Tamandua tetradactyla: one gene and its partner. The protein of the gene in region 2 interacts with the protein of the main gene of each other region in a biochemical or structural test. Links are inferred from orthologs where the notes say so. Each region holds a gene or a part of one and is shown on either strand. Other genes may lie near its edges.

Evidence for each region.
Region 1: the proteins of SLC9A1 (region 2) and TESC form a complex in vitro, tested with the Homo sapiens proteins (4 studies listed by BioGRID and IntAct, with this or other methods). The link is inferred for Tamandua tetradactyla from reciprocal best matches to the Homo sapiens genes SLC9A1 and TESC.

The regions. Positions count from the first base shown.
Region 1 is NC_135331.1:17,544,254-17,551,957, forward strand, and holds the start of TESC (calcineurin B homologous protein 3), read right to left. Parts: upstream 3,017-7,704; 5' UTR 2,072-3,016; coding exon 1,972-2,071; intron 1-1,971. UniProt on the Homo sapiens protein: Functions as an integral cofactor in cell pH regulation by controlling plasma membrane-type Na(+)/H(+) exchange activity. Promotes the maturation, transport, cell surface stability and exchange activity of SLC9A1/NHE1 at the plasma membrane.
Region 2 is NC_135328.1:199,117,022-199,124,030, reverse strand, and holds the start of SLC9A1 (sodium/hydrogen exchanger 1), read right to left. Parts: upstream 3,005-7,009; 5' UTR 2,159-3,004; coding exon 1,807-2,158; intron 1-1,806. UniProt on the Homo sapiens protein: Electroneutral Na(+) /H(+) antiporter that extrudes Na(+) in exchange for external protons driven by the inward sodium ion chemical gradient, protecting cells from acidification that occurs from metabolism.

The DNA of each region.
Region 1 (7,704 bases), on a different chromosome or scaffold from region 2:
CCGGGGTGCAGGAGACTGGGGAGGACTGGACAGAAGGGCTGGGAGCGGGGGGACAGCACAGGGCAGGCTCACTGCTCTCTCAAGGGACTCCCCCAGCCGCCCGGCCTCCCGCTATCTCTGCCACAGCGTCACCCTGGAAAGAGACTCCCAGACACCCAGAGGCGTCATTTCCAGGACCCCCAAACGTCTCCTGTTTCCCATCTCCTGCCAGATTGGCCAGGACGAGCCTCACGCCAGCTGCGAGCCTGGAATGCCGAGGTGAGACAGACAGACAGAAAGGCGGCCACCGGCGACTCTCCCGAGAGCACGGCGAGGGGTAGGAATCCCACCTTCACGGGGTCCCGACCGTGCTCCCCAGGCCAGCCCCCCAGCCCCCCTTCTCCATAACACACAGATGACAGCACCTCTCCCTTCCGAGGCGGTTCACACAGTGGCAGAACGCAAACCACAAGCACCATCCCTAGCCATCCGAGGGAGGACACAGCCCAAGCAGACATCCGGCCGCTGCCGGACGGATCAGCTGTGTGTCCAGCCAGAAACGGAGTGTTACTCGGCCACAGAAAGGAGCGAAGGTCTGCTGTGAGCTGCACTGCCGATGGACCCTGCAGACACGACGCTGAGCGAAAGGAGCCGGACACAAAACGACACACGGTGTAGGTTTCCACTCATATGAAAACATCCAGGGCAGGCAAATCCATAGACACAGAAAGCAAGTTGGTGGCTGTCAGGGGCTGGGGTGGGGGACAGCGGGAAGATGCAATAGGGGTGCCTGCTCACGGGTGCAGAGTTTCTAATTCAGATGAAGGAAGAGTTCTGGAGCAAGACACAGGCAATGCCTGCCCAACATTGTGAACATAGTTAAGGCCAACAAATTACACTTAAAAATGGTGAAAACGGTCAATGTTGTGTTGTGTGCATTTTTCCAGGCACGTGCACATATGTACAGACGTCACATGCACACTTCGCTCGGGACGGGCCTGCGAAGGCTCAGCAGCCGGAGCCACAGAGATGGCTATGACACCCCTAAGCAATAACCACGGGGACCATCTCAGCTCCTCAGCTGGCTCCAGGCTCAGGAGGGAAGGAGTGACTTGTTTTTGCCACCTGGGGCTACAGCCAAAGCAATGACTAATGCTGGGCTTTGTGGGGAGGAGGGACAGGAGGTGGGAGGGGGACAGAAAGGAGGGGGAGGGGGACAGAAAGGAGGGAGGAGGGAGAAGAGGAGGGAAAGGAGAAGGAGAGGGAGGAAGGAAAGGAGGAAGAGGAGGAGGGGAGGGGAGAAAAGGAGAAGAGGAGAACTGGGAGGAAGAGGGGAGGGGAGGGGGGAGGAGGTGGAGGAAGGACAGGCCTCCTGAGCCTTGTAGGGACCTTGAAAGAGGCAGTGGGGACTGTCCCTCTGGCCTGTCACCTACAAGATGCTTGGAGGGCACGTATCACTGACCAGGCCTAGTGGGCAGGATTTTAAAATAAACCAAAGATGCACTGGGGACCACTTAGTCTGGAAAGGAAAGTTCTCAAACAAATGCCATTTTCCAAAGCAGCAGGAGCAAAAAGATTAATCATTGGCTCTAATCCAGCATTTTAAAACCCTTTTCATGCAAACGTCCACCCACCTTAGAAATGCGAAAGCCAAGGAATTCCCAGGAAGCACAGCCCCCCCACCCCATCCCCCCCACCCCGGCCTGGAGATGTCACTTATTTTAATCTGGGTACCCAGGGTCCCCTTAGTGTCTCATTGGGTTTTTCTACCCAGGGGTGAATCCCCCATTCTGGGGTCTGGAAGGGAAGCTGGGACGGAGCGAACCGACCTGACTGTAGAACTGTGTCCTCTCACGGGCACCAAGACAGCCTGAGAGGGTGTCGGGGGCAGGCGTGACCGCACACATCGCAGGCCCGCGCTGTGCCGCCCACGCTCACCTGCCCGCCCACGCTCACCTGCCCGCCCACGCTCACCTGCCCGCCCACGCTCACCTGCCTGCCGCTGCGCCCGTTCTTTCCCGCTCACGCTAGCGCCGGGGCCACTGCCCGGGGTACGTTTACTAAGGCAGGTAAGGGGCCAAGCACTGGGCATGCGGCTGAATTGTGTGTCCCCCAAAAGGCTCTGTTCAAGTCGCCATCCCCAGGCCTGTGAGCATGATGACCCTATTGGAAACAGGATTTCTGAATGTTACTAGTTCAGATGAAGCCAAATGGCTGGTGTCCTTATAAGGAGAAGACACTGGACCCAGGCAGACAGATCCACACAGGACAGTGCCCCGCAACAGCTGTGCCGGAGAAGGCCACGGATGCACAGCTAGCCTCTACCAGAAGCTGAGACAGACCTGGCACAGATTCCTTCCTACAGGTGTAAGAGGCAGCACAGCCTGGCTGATTTTGGGTCCTCCAGACACATGTCTGTTGTTTGAAGCCTCCCAGTTTGTGGTGCTTTGCTCCAGCAGCCCAGCAACTTAAAACACATGCGTCATCTTATTTAGTTCTCGTAACAGTGCCCACTTCCTAGGGTGGTGATCACACCCATTCTGCAGATGAGGAAATGGAGTCACAGGGAGGGTAAGCCACTTGCCAAAGGGCACACAGATTTGCACCCGGGCTTGTGACAGCAGCATCTGTTCTTGAAACCATCTGCTCTGCTATCAGTTCCATCAAAACTATGCAGTGGCTAGGGCAATGAAGACATGATTCTGTAATTAAAGACACAGACACGGTCATTTCGATAAAAAGACTGAAGATGGGGACAGGGAAAAAAGCAGCACTGCATCAGTCGAGATTTGGAGAGTGGGCGTCTTGCAAAGCATCTCAGGAGCTGGTTTCACACTCTTCTAGACTGATCTTTGCCTCTAAATTTATGCCGAGTCCAAACCAAGTGGCGAGGCACTTTGGCACCTAAGGCACAGGGTCTTACAGTAAGACACTTAGATAAAGAACTCCAGTTCTTGCTCCTAGGAGGGTTATCCCTTCCACCACAAACACATGAAAACACTAGGTAAAAATAAGAAAAATACACATATACATATCTCCGTGTGTATATATATCTGTGTACAGACACACACACAGCTAAGAGTGTAAGTGTAATCCCCAGGTGCCAGGAGGAAGCCCACGCTCAGGAGGGCGAGGTGTCAGCGACTGCTGGTGGCCCAGGGGACTGACGATGGCCACAGCTCGAACAGCTGAAGGCTGGGACTGCCGAGTGCCCAGCAACAGAAGCGGCCTCGAGTCTGTGGGAGTTAGAACCACACCTATAAAAAGCTGGAACACAAAAGGCAGCCCCTCTACGTACGGTGGGCGGGAAAAACGTTTATCACCACCAGACCAAACAATCCACAAGGAAGCTACTCTGCTGGGGAGGTGGCAGGACACGAAGGGAAGGGGGAGGCTGCCGGGAGAAACCAAGACCCCAAGCTGGCCATGCACAGGAGAAAATCCAAAATTCTGCCGGGCAGGAAACCCACGCTGAAGAATTAACGTAAAATTCTTACGTTATTAAAAGAAACATTCCAAAAGAATGTTTGGAACCATTCTGGACCAGTGAAGACCCTTAAGGTTCCTCGCACAGCAAAATGCATGATCACTTCTCCAGCCCAGGGCACAGGGGAGCCCTAGGGCGGACGGGAGGGCGGGGAGGACGTACCCCCAGGTGAAGACGAGCTTGTAAAAATGAAACAAACTGTCCGCGCATGCGAATCTTGAAGGTCAATCAGAACAGAGCGCGCTGTGTTTTAAATGAGTGCAAATAGTGAAACTATGGCCAGAGAGATGAATTTGAAAACCACATACCATTTGGATGTTTCCTGTAAAAAGTTACTGAAATGAAAAAAAGCTTAATAGTCAGGTTCAAGAAGCAAAGTCATAGTATCTGAAAAGAGAGTTAGCAAACTGGAAGACATACCCAAGGAAATGACCCAGACTACTGCATTCGACAATACAAAGATAGGAAACGTGAAACCTGCATGAGAGTACAGGAGACCACAGTGAGATGGCCCAATCCATTTCTCGTAGGAATTCCTGAGGGACAAGGCAAAGAGAAAAACAGCACAGCCATTCTCAGGCAAGAACAAAATAAATAGATTTATACCTAGACTATGCATAAGGTAAAACACCACCAACAAAAAGTTTTAAATGGCGGCAGGGAAACAGATTTCTACAAAGAGCTATCAGTTAGACAAAGAGCTGACTTCTCAACAGCAGCAAGAGACAGAAACAAAGCACTGAGAAGAAATATCCAGCCACTGCAAATGCTATACCCAACTAAATGATCATTCAGGCATGGCAGCAAAATAAAGACATTTTCAGACAAGGTTTACAACTCACAGAGCCTCGCTGAAAAATCTACAGAAAGGTGTACTTAAGAAATCAACTAAATCTACAAGGGAGAATGGCTGTAAGAGTTAATAGGGCATGTACAAAACAGTAATTGTGATCAATATGTAGGTTCTAGAAACAAAGGTAAAAAACACTACAACGGTGCAAAATTAAAGCATGTGGTCAGCTTCTGAACGGTTCATATAAAAATGGTAAAAATCATTAGTACTGGCCAATCACTTTTTTTTTTAAACAAAAAATATATTACATATTCATATACCATGTTATCATCTAAAGCGTACAATCAGTGGTTCATAGTATCATCACATAGCTATATGCATTCGTCATCACAATAGATTTTTGAACATTTTCATTACTCCAAAAAAATAAAAATAAGAATAAAAATTAAAATAAAAGTTAAAAAAAGTACATCCAAAACATCACATACATACCCCCCCATTGTTTATTTACTTTCCTCTTTTTCCCTTACTCATTGTCCATACACTAGATAAAGGGAATGATAGTTACAAAGTTTTCACAATTACATGAATACACCTTAAAATGTCTATAGTTATTCAATCATCCACCCAAAGCATAAGCAACAAAAGAAAAAATAGATAAATGGGAACTCCTCAAAATCAAATGCTTCTCCACCTCAAAAGACTTTGTCAAAAAGGTGAACAGGCAGTCAACTCAATGGGAGAAAATATTTGGAAATCTTACATCGCACAGAGGTTTGATATCCTCAATACATAAAGAAATCATACAACTCAACAGCAAAAGAACAAAAACCCAATTATAAAATGGAATAAAAGATATGAATAGGCATTTTCCTGAAGAGCAAACACAGATGGCTCAAAAGCACATGAAGCGATGTTCATTTTCACTGGCTTAAGGGAAATGCAGATCAAGACTACAATTAGATACCACCTCACACCTATAGGAATGGCTGCTATTAAACAAACAGGAAACTATAAATGTTGGAGAGGATGTGGAGAAACTGGGACACTTATGCACTGCTGGTGGGAATGTATAAAGGTGCAGCTGCTATGGAAGACTGTTTGGTGGTTCCTTAGAAAACTAAATATCGAGTTGCCCTAAGACCCAGCAATAGCACTACCTGGTATATACCCAGAAGAGCTGAAAGTAATGACACAAACAGACATTTGCAAACCGATATTCATAGCAGCATTATTACCAATTGCCAAAAGATGGAAACAAACCAAATGCCCATCAACAGACGAGTGGATCAACAAAATGTGGTATATACATGTGATGGAGTATTATGCAGCATTAAGACAAGATGACGTCCTGAAGCACATGACAAGATCGATGAGCCTTGAGGACATAATGCTGAGTGAAATAAGCCAGACACAAAAGGATCGATACTGTATGACTCCACGTTTATGACCATCATAAAGGTATAATCAGAGGCTTTTAATACAGAATATAGGGGACTTAGAGATACATATAACCTAGAGATGGGTGAATGGTTGGCTAATGAGGTTGAACTCCAATGTAAGGGAATAAATAGAAGTGAAGATGGTTCTCTAGTGGGTCTATAAGTAATATTACCATACTGAAGATGAACAAGATTGAAAGGGGTTGTATTTTTAGACCTACACGTCCCACTGATTAACACTAGAAATAGGAATTAGCTCTTGTAAGAATTACTTCAAAGGTACTATTTGTGTACAAAGAGTGTTTAAGTTCAGGGTACAGGGGAAAACTGCTATTGCATGCCATGGGCTATATTTAAAAGGAAAACAGCACTACCACAGTAACAACAGAGGTAAATAACAGGGGGAGGGACAAGAGTTAAGAGGAGGATTAGATCTCCTATTTGGCCAGGGTGTGTTTATTGGTTTTCTCTTGGAAACGATGAAATTATTAAAAATTGGGAGTGTTGATGGACTGTGGACTTTGGACATTATACATGATGCCCGATGAATGCAGGTGGCTAAAGGATGCACTGACTGAGAAGTAAATTAGCAAACGATGGTGTATGCATATGATTGAAGATTGTGTTCCTACAAAAAGGAACGAAGTTGTGAGGCATACAACACTGTGAATGAACCTGTGGGACATTCAGCCAGAAACAAAAGAGCAATTATTGTATGGTCTCCTTTAGAAAACACTTATAAGAAAACGGGGGTCTAGAGTCTAAGCTCTTATAGCAGCCTATTGCAGTAATTATTATTTCTGGATTTTGAGAGGCTGTTTTATGTATGTATAACCTGATATTTAGAGAAAAGAACAAAGCTGATCAGGTCAGGATTAAGGTAATTCAGAATACAGAGGTAAGGAAGGCAGTGTCCATAGTTTAGAACCTCACCTACTCTTTGAGTACAAAGGAAGAAAGGTTTATTTGGTCTGGAACCTAAATTTTCTGCAGCACATAATCTAACTCAACCTGTCTGGATAGCTCATTTAAACAATCGAAACCCAGGGAGCCCAGAATAAGAATGAGGGTCTTTAATCCTGTATAGCTTAGTGTAATGCCTAGATACATCCTAGAATATATTAAGCAGATAATAAAAGTATTGGCAAAGTCCCTTGAGCGATGGGAGAAAAAATACGGAACTATTAAACTTTGCTACTGGGGAATCCCTTGATACTGTGCCAAACATTAGGGACACCCAAGTAAACAGGCCAAGACCTGTGATCTCGAGGTTTGCTCTTGTGAAGCTTATACAGGTAGTTGAGACGCTTAACCTACCTACAGGTGTGCCTAAGAGTCACTCTGGAGGACCTCTTTGGTTGCTCAGATGCGGCCTCGCTCTCTCTAAGCCCAACTCTGCATGTGAAACCACTGCCCTCCCCTCTATGTGGGACATGACATATGGGGGTGAAAGTCTCCCTCGCAGCATGGGAGAGGACTCCCAGGGATGAGTCTGGCCCTGGCACCGTGGGATCAACAATGCCATCCTGACCAAAAGGGGGAAAAAAGTGTAATAAATAAGGTTTCAGTGGCTGAGAGAGTTCAGAGTTGAGAGGCCACTCTGGAGGTCACTCTTACACAAGCTTCAATTAGACAGATATTGCTACCTATCATAGCTTGCCAAATCCCAACCAAAACCATTCCTGCCAATCCTTAAGAACACAAGGACTTTACATTAAGATTCTCCAAAGGTTCCATGCACTAGGGTAACTTTCCAGAAACCTACTACCTCCAGATGGGTCCTTGGACCAGATAAATCCTGAAACCTAGAGGCCCAGCCTCTGCAGAACATCAGCTAGTTCCATCTCCCTACCCTGTAATATTTACAGCCCCTTCCAACATGAAAAAGTTAGAATGACCATAGCTCAAATACCCCTAAAGAGTGGGAGAAAGATCAAAGGTGATGATGGAGTTATACAGAGAAGGTAGGGTTTAACAAAGGAGTATGATTGCCGAATCCTCAT
Region 2 (7,009 bases):
ATCCAGCAGCCCAGGGTCCTGGGCTCAGTACTCTGTGGTGACGAAGGCCAGGCCAATTAGAACTAAAGATACCATGAGGCTTGTAGGGATAACTACCAACAGCCCAAAATGGATCTTTGTGCTATGCTCTCATTCCGTCAGCCGGCACTGAGAGAGACCTGCATTGTGTGCCAGTCCCCAATGCCCTTAACACAATGCCAGGTGTGGGTCCAGAGGTGAGGGAGCTGGAGAGAGGAGGGCAGTTTATAGACAGCAATTGCAAGGTCTCTTCTGGTCTCACACAGGCAAATGACACATTACAGTGACTTCAGTTTTTTACAACAAGGTAAGACTCATGGTCTCAACTGGTATGGTCAAATCTAGAGAGTCCTGCCCATTTCACAGGTGGGAGAGACCAGCTGAAAAAGGCCCTAGCTTGTTTAAGGTCACAAAATTGTATCAGAATCAGTACACATGGCTCTCTTTGCCCAGTCCTTGACTCTTCCAGGAAGCACAGCTGCCACCAGTGTGTAGGTACTGGCAGCCCAGCTCCATGCCCAGCCCTGCCACTGTGACCGGCTCGGCACCAGGAAGCCAGATCCTGGATCTGTCAAGATTCAGTGAGAGTGCCAGGCACCAGTGCCCTTCTGCAGCATGTCCCAGAGCCTGACTGGCACAGCCACTCAGCTTCTGCATGTCCTTGGGAAAGGTGCCAAGAGTCATAAACACCCCAAACCCAACCTTAGGCAAAGAGGGGAGCAGAGACCCATGTCTCTGTGTCTTCCACAGTTCGCTGGGGACTGAAAAAAGCAAAGGCAACAATCAAAGCCAGCCTGGACACCACGACTAAGGATTGGGACTTCTGAGCTATGCAGGTTCTGGTCAGCTCCATCGACCACCCAGTAGGACAGGATGCTCAGGCCTAGAAGGGAAACCACCCCTATGGGAGGGAACAACTTTTCTGCTCCTTTGCCCCAAAAAGGGCATTTCAAAGTCTCTTCAGACCAGAACACCCTAGCCCTTTCACCTATACCTCTTCTACTTGGACGGACAGAAAGCCAATGTGACTGGACAGCTCAGATGGCACATAAGACACAGCCAGGTGCTAACCTGGAGGTGAGTTAGGTCCAGACCAAGCTGCAACTTCCTCCGCTCTCCCTCCATCCTCAAAATAAGCCTCAGAAATGTCTAGGGTCCCTGTCCCATAAACTGTATAAAGCATGGCATTCCTGGGCAGGAAACTGACTCAGGGACTCCTAACCAGCCTGGACAGGTAAACCTGACAGATAGCATTCTGGGGATAAAGGAATGTGAGAATCTGAGAATCTCTCATGTTCCACCCCACTTATAATCTCCAGCACCCAGGGCTCCTGCTATACAGGACAGGCCTCAGACAGGTCAAGTAGAGAGGGCTATTCTCTGTCCTGGGCCACTCTACCATGAAGCATGTAATTGCACCAGTTGCTGTCCACAAAGCAGAATGTGCCTCTTGCTGGAAGAAACTTCTGAGTCTCACACACATCTGGGTGTCTGGCTCCCAAGGGGTCTGGCCCAGCCAGGGGAAGACTTGTCAGGCCTGGAAGTCCTGCTGAAGGTACCTAATATCAGTGGGGGCCATCCTCTCATCCTGCCTGCTCTCTCCCACACAAGATGCTGATTTCCATTCTTAGCAGGCCTCAAAACCTCAGAGGCCACAAAGCTAAAGTTTGAGAAGGACCAAGATAGCAGGATGGAGGCTGCCCATGATCCAGGACCCTTATTCCTGGGCAGCCCCAAATGGTAAGCCAGTCAGGTGGTGGTGGTGGCATGAGAGCCAACTGGACTTACCTATCTTCATGAGGCAGGCCAGCAGGATCCACAGGGAGATCTCAAAGGGTATGCGCACGTGTGGGTAGTCGATACCCAGGACTGGAAAGGCCTTTCGTGTCTTCGTGCTGTGGTCAGTGACGGAATGGTTAACAGGGCGGCTCTCCGGGGTGACCTCAGGTGGGGCGGTGGTGACATCCCCGATAGAGCGCTCCCGGGGTGGCTCGGAGCCCCGGATGGTGCTGGCAGTGGGGCTGGGCTGGAGGCCATGGCTCCTGAGGACAGGTAGCAGTCCCACCAAGGCTACCACCATGAGAAACGAAGGGAAGATCCGTGGTGGAGAGGGGCCACTGATGCCACGCCACAGAGGCATCGTCCTGCTCCCTGGGCCCAGTGGGCCTCTACCTTTAGCAAAGGGAGAGTAAGACGTGGGACATGGGTAGGAAGGGGTCCGAATGCCAGAAGAGAGACTGGAAGAGTCTCTAGGAAAAGTTCATGTTCTAGAGAAGTACTTTCGTGGAAGCAGTCCTCTGGGGTGGAAAGAGGTGGGGGGGGGGGGTCGCAATAGGTGGGAACCCCAAGATTTGAGACCGAGAACTGGAACTCCAAAATGGAGAAGAGGGACAAGGACCCAGGAAGGATTGCAGGAGGAGACAAAGGTGTGGAACCTTAGGCCTGGAAAAGAGAGGGGGAGGGGAGGAGTCTGAGCCCTGGAGCCAGAGCAGGGGACTGGGGTGGCTGGACCCCAGGCAAGTGATAGGAAGAAGGAAGACTGCGACCCTTGGCTGAGGAAAGTGACTGAGGAGCTGGGACTGTGGAATAAGGAAAGGGGTAGGGAGCCCAGGCTAAAGGAAGGGGACCAGGGAGGATGGGACCCAGGCCAGGAATACGGAGAGAGGACGCTGGGAGTCCAAGCTGCCAGGAAGGAATGAAGCCGGAAAGCGGCCGGGTGCTCCCCACCCAGAGAAGGGCTGGGGTCGAGGCGCTGGGCTGAGATTCCGGGGAAATGGAGGGAGGCGGAAGGCGGAGGAAGGCAGCCCGGCAGCAGGGCGCCTCGGCGCGGGCTGGGGGCGGCTGGTGGTGGGCCGGCGACAACACGCCCCTTCTTGCGGCCCCTGGACGTCGCTGCGCTCCGCCACGGCCCGGCGGCAGGTCGTCCGCGTCCAGGTCCAGTCCTAATCCCAGCCACAACCTCAGCCCGGGTGGCAGCAGACTGATTCCGCGCTGAGCCCGGCGCCGCCTCTTATAGGCACCACCGAGCTACCGGAGCCCGCGGCTAGAGCGACCTGTCAGCGCCCGCGCAGCACAGCGGCCCCTTTCGCCGAGGGAAGGAAGTATCACGTGGGAAGAGCAAGAAGAGTCAAGAGGCAAAAAAAGTAAAGTGATTTACTATTTAAAAAGCGCTTTCACCTCCACATCCGCGGGCTCATGAAGGCTTATCAATAATCCTGTGAAAGACATATTATTATCTTAAATATTTAGTTACCATGTGACCCTGAGCAAGTTTCTGAACATGTTCCACAGCTTTCTCATCTGTAAAGTGGAGGTAGTAGTAGCACCTGTACCAGGATACCGTGATGACTAAATGAGATCAAGTATCTAGAATGGCACACCAGACCATTACTAGGAGAAAACTGAGGCACAGAGTGTTCCTTAGCTAGAATGTAGGTTGTAGAGCGAGGTTTGAATCTGTGGTGTTGATTGGCAGTACTTAATCACTAGAAAGTTTTTTTTAAGTGGTGTTGCTGGAAACCCATCTTTAGAGGTTTGGATTAAACTGCTTCAGGAGAGTGCCCAGGCATGGGTATTTTTTTCAAAGATCCTTGGGCGATTCTAATGTACAGCTTACATGTGTGAGGACAGAGAACTACTAAACTACTGAAATGCTGTCCCTGTTTTGCAGAAGAGTACATTGAGGCCAAGAAGTCAAAGTGACTAGTTCAAAGTCACGAGTGATTTCACAGGGATTTGATTCAGCTTGTCCAACATTTATTGGGTATCTTGTGATAAGCCTTGGCTGTGCTCTGCCAAAATAGAGATGAATGACATGGTTTTTGCCCTCAGTTTATACAGTGCCCAGTGTCCTAATTTTCCATTGGATCTTCTTTCCACTACTCTAGGACTTCAGAAAGTAGAAAATAAACTGCACTCTTAGGAGGTTGCTTCTACCATCTTCTGTGGTTCTGGATTTCAATCCTGGGCTTCTCCAATCTCGTAAGGCAACAGCATACAGTGGAAAGATTACTGGATTTGTTGTCAGATTAAGATAGGTTCAAATCTAGTTAACTGTTGCCTGATGAATGATCTTCAGCAAGTCATATCACCTTTTTGAGCCTATTTCTTCATCCATAAAATGGGGGTGATGACACTAACAATATCTAAGTCAAAATGGATTCTAGTGAGAACTAAAGTGTATGTGAAAGCACTCCATGAAGTCAAAGTGCTAGGCATATGTCAGTTTCCGTTATCTTCAAATATTTATTCTACTGAGCACCTTCTTTGTGTCAGGTGCTAAGTACTGGGCATACCGCCATGAACAAGACAGACAGGGTCCCTGCTTTCATGGAACTGATGCTCCACTGGAGGGAGAGAGATAATAAATTAAACAAATGGATAAGAAAAAATATTGATATGCATTAAGAAGCAAATAAATAAGATAACGCATATTTATGTACACAAAAGGCAGTGGGTATAACAATGTCCATAGCAGCAGTATTCATAATGGCCAAAACTGAAAATAACCCAAATAGCCAACAATGGCAGTAAATAAATTGAGGTGTATTCATGTGATAGAATGCTATATAGCAACAAAAATGAATGTGCTATTGCTAAACAACAACATGAATGACTTTCACAAACAAAGTTGAGTGAAAAACACTAAACATAAAATTCTAAATACTGTGTAATTGCATAAAGTACAAAATTAGGGAAACTATGATGTTGGATGTAAAGATAATGATTAGCTTTGGGGCGGAAGGAAGAAGTAGTGATTGGGAAGTGGCACAAAGGAAGGGGTAGACTGTGAGGACTTCTGATGTGCTACTAATTTTTTACAAAGGTTACATAGATGTAGTTGTTTTGTGATAACTCTTTGAACATGCAGGCCCTCGTGGGTGCACTTTTCTCTAAGTTTGCTAACCCACCACAAGCAAAAAGATATATTTAAATAATAAGAGTAATGTGACCATGACTGAGGGTGACAACACTGAAGCAAGTTCTCTGTACTTCACATTCTCCTGGCATAGGCTCAGCTATCACGGAGATGATGGAAGAGCCTAGAAGGGCCTTCAGGGAAGACGAGGGTCCCTGTGTCACCTGGGAACAGATGAAAAGAGAACATCAGCTGTAATGGAAGTAATCAAAGAGAGGAATGGCATCTAAGCAAGGACCAGAATAGCGACAATAATGCCTTGCAATTGTTAAGCCTTTCATAGTTCACAAACAAGTCCCCCAGGTATAGCAATGATCCAAGCCCTGGTGCATAGTGAGAGCTCAATAAATACTAGCAGTTATTCTCATTCTCATTTTACAGATGAAAAAACCACAGCTCAGAGACGTGAAGCAGTTTGCCCAAGGTCACATAGCCCAAGGCAGCAAGTCCAGGACTTAAGTCAGGGTTCTGACATCTGAGTCCGGTGCTCTTTCAAAACACCAACAAGCTCAGCATAGAAGAAGGAACACAGGGAAAAGGTGTGGCCAGGATACAGATTTTCCACAGGTACGATGGGGCAGAATTCCAAGACCCACAGTCCTTTCTAGTCTCGAGGGCAGCATTCACTGGTACGTACTGATCCCTCCTACTCTCTAACTCCTCTGAAACTCCTCAGTGAGTCTTTTTGTGCCAGCCTGGAGGTAACGGATCCCATGAGAACCAGGAAATGCCTCCACAGCCTGGAGTTTATGACAACCTGACAACACCAGGAAAGAGCCCTAAGGAGAAGCCACTTGGAGCCACCTTTGGCCAAGGCCCAGCCCAGGCGAGATCATGTAGCATAACAGTTGAACATTCAGGGGCTGGGAGCCAAACTGTATAGGTTCAAATCCCATTACCACCGCTTACTAGTTAAGACCTCAGACGAATCAGTCAACCTCCCTGACCCTTGGATTATTCCTCCATAATGTGTGGGCAGCAATCGTGCCAGCCTCATGGGGCTGTGAGGACGATATTTGCTAATATACGTAAAGCACTTAGAGCCGTGCCCAGCAAGCACCGCACACACTCACATCATCACTACTCACATGCAGCAAGGGCCGCAAATGTAAACCTTGGCGTTAGGGCCACATGAAGTCACACATTCAGTCACAGCAACATGCTGACAGGCTAGAAAGAAGAGCCTCTTGTCTGTGAGACTGGTCCTCCCATCAGACCGCACCACCTGAGATATGCTATGAATTTAAAATGTTTAAATAAATTATGTTGCTGAGAATTTGTGTGTGTTAAAAGCATAAGCTTGTTAAAGGTAATCCGTTAAAATAAACTGCAATATTTGTCACCCTCTTGTAGCAGGTCCTCATTCTTTTTTTAACCATTCCAGGCCCGCACTGCTCTTGACTGGGAGAGGCCACGTCTCTGCAGACTCTCCCTCTGCAGATCTTGGGCCACTCGGGGTGCCTGGGCCCTGCTGGCCTCTCCAGGTGCTTAGCCATGTCTGTCCTCCTGCACCCTTTGATGAATCCCTTGACTAAAAGTCCTGGGCATTTTAGGGACTTGCTATAGCTATGAGGTGTACAGATGCGTGGCAGGGAAGGCATGATGAAGAAAGGATCGCTTGGCCACTTCTTAGGTAAGTCACATCTTGTTCCTGTTCCTCAGATTGTTCATGGGTATGGAAGGTGCCATAATACCCACCTCGTGAGGCTGTTAGTAAATGACCGGTATATGTCAGGCACGGTTGCCGACACGTTGTTGGCACTCAGTAACTGAATTTGTTTCCTTCTTTCCTTTGTTAGAGTAACACAGCCCAACAAGGACATTCTCCCCTTCCATCACTCCACTCCATCCACACTGACTCCTTGTTATTTTGCACTGCCAGGCACGCTGCTGCTTCAGGCCCTTAACACCTGCTGTTCCCACTACCTGGAACACTTCCCCAGATGGGCACCCGGCTCATTCCCTTACATCCTTCAAGCCTTTCCACACATCTCTCTCTCTCTTTTTTTTTTTTTAACATGGGCAGGCACTGGGAATCGAACCCGGGTCCTCTGGCATGGCAGGTGAGCATTC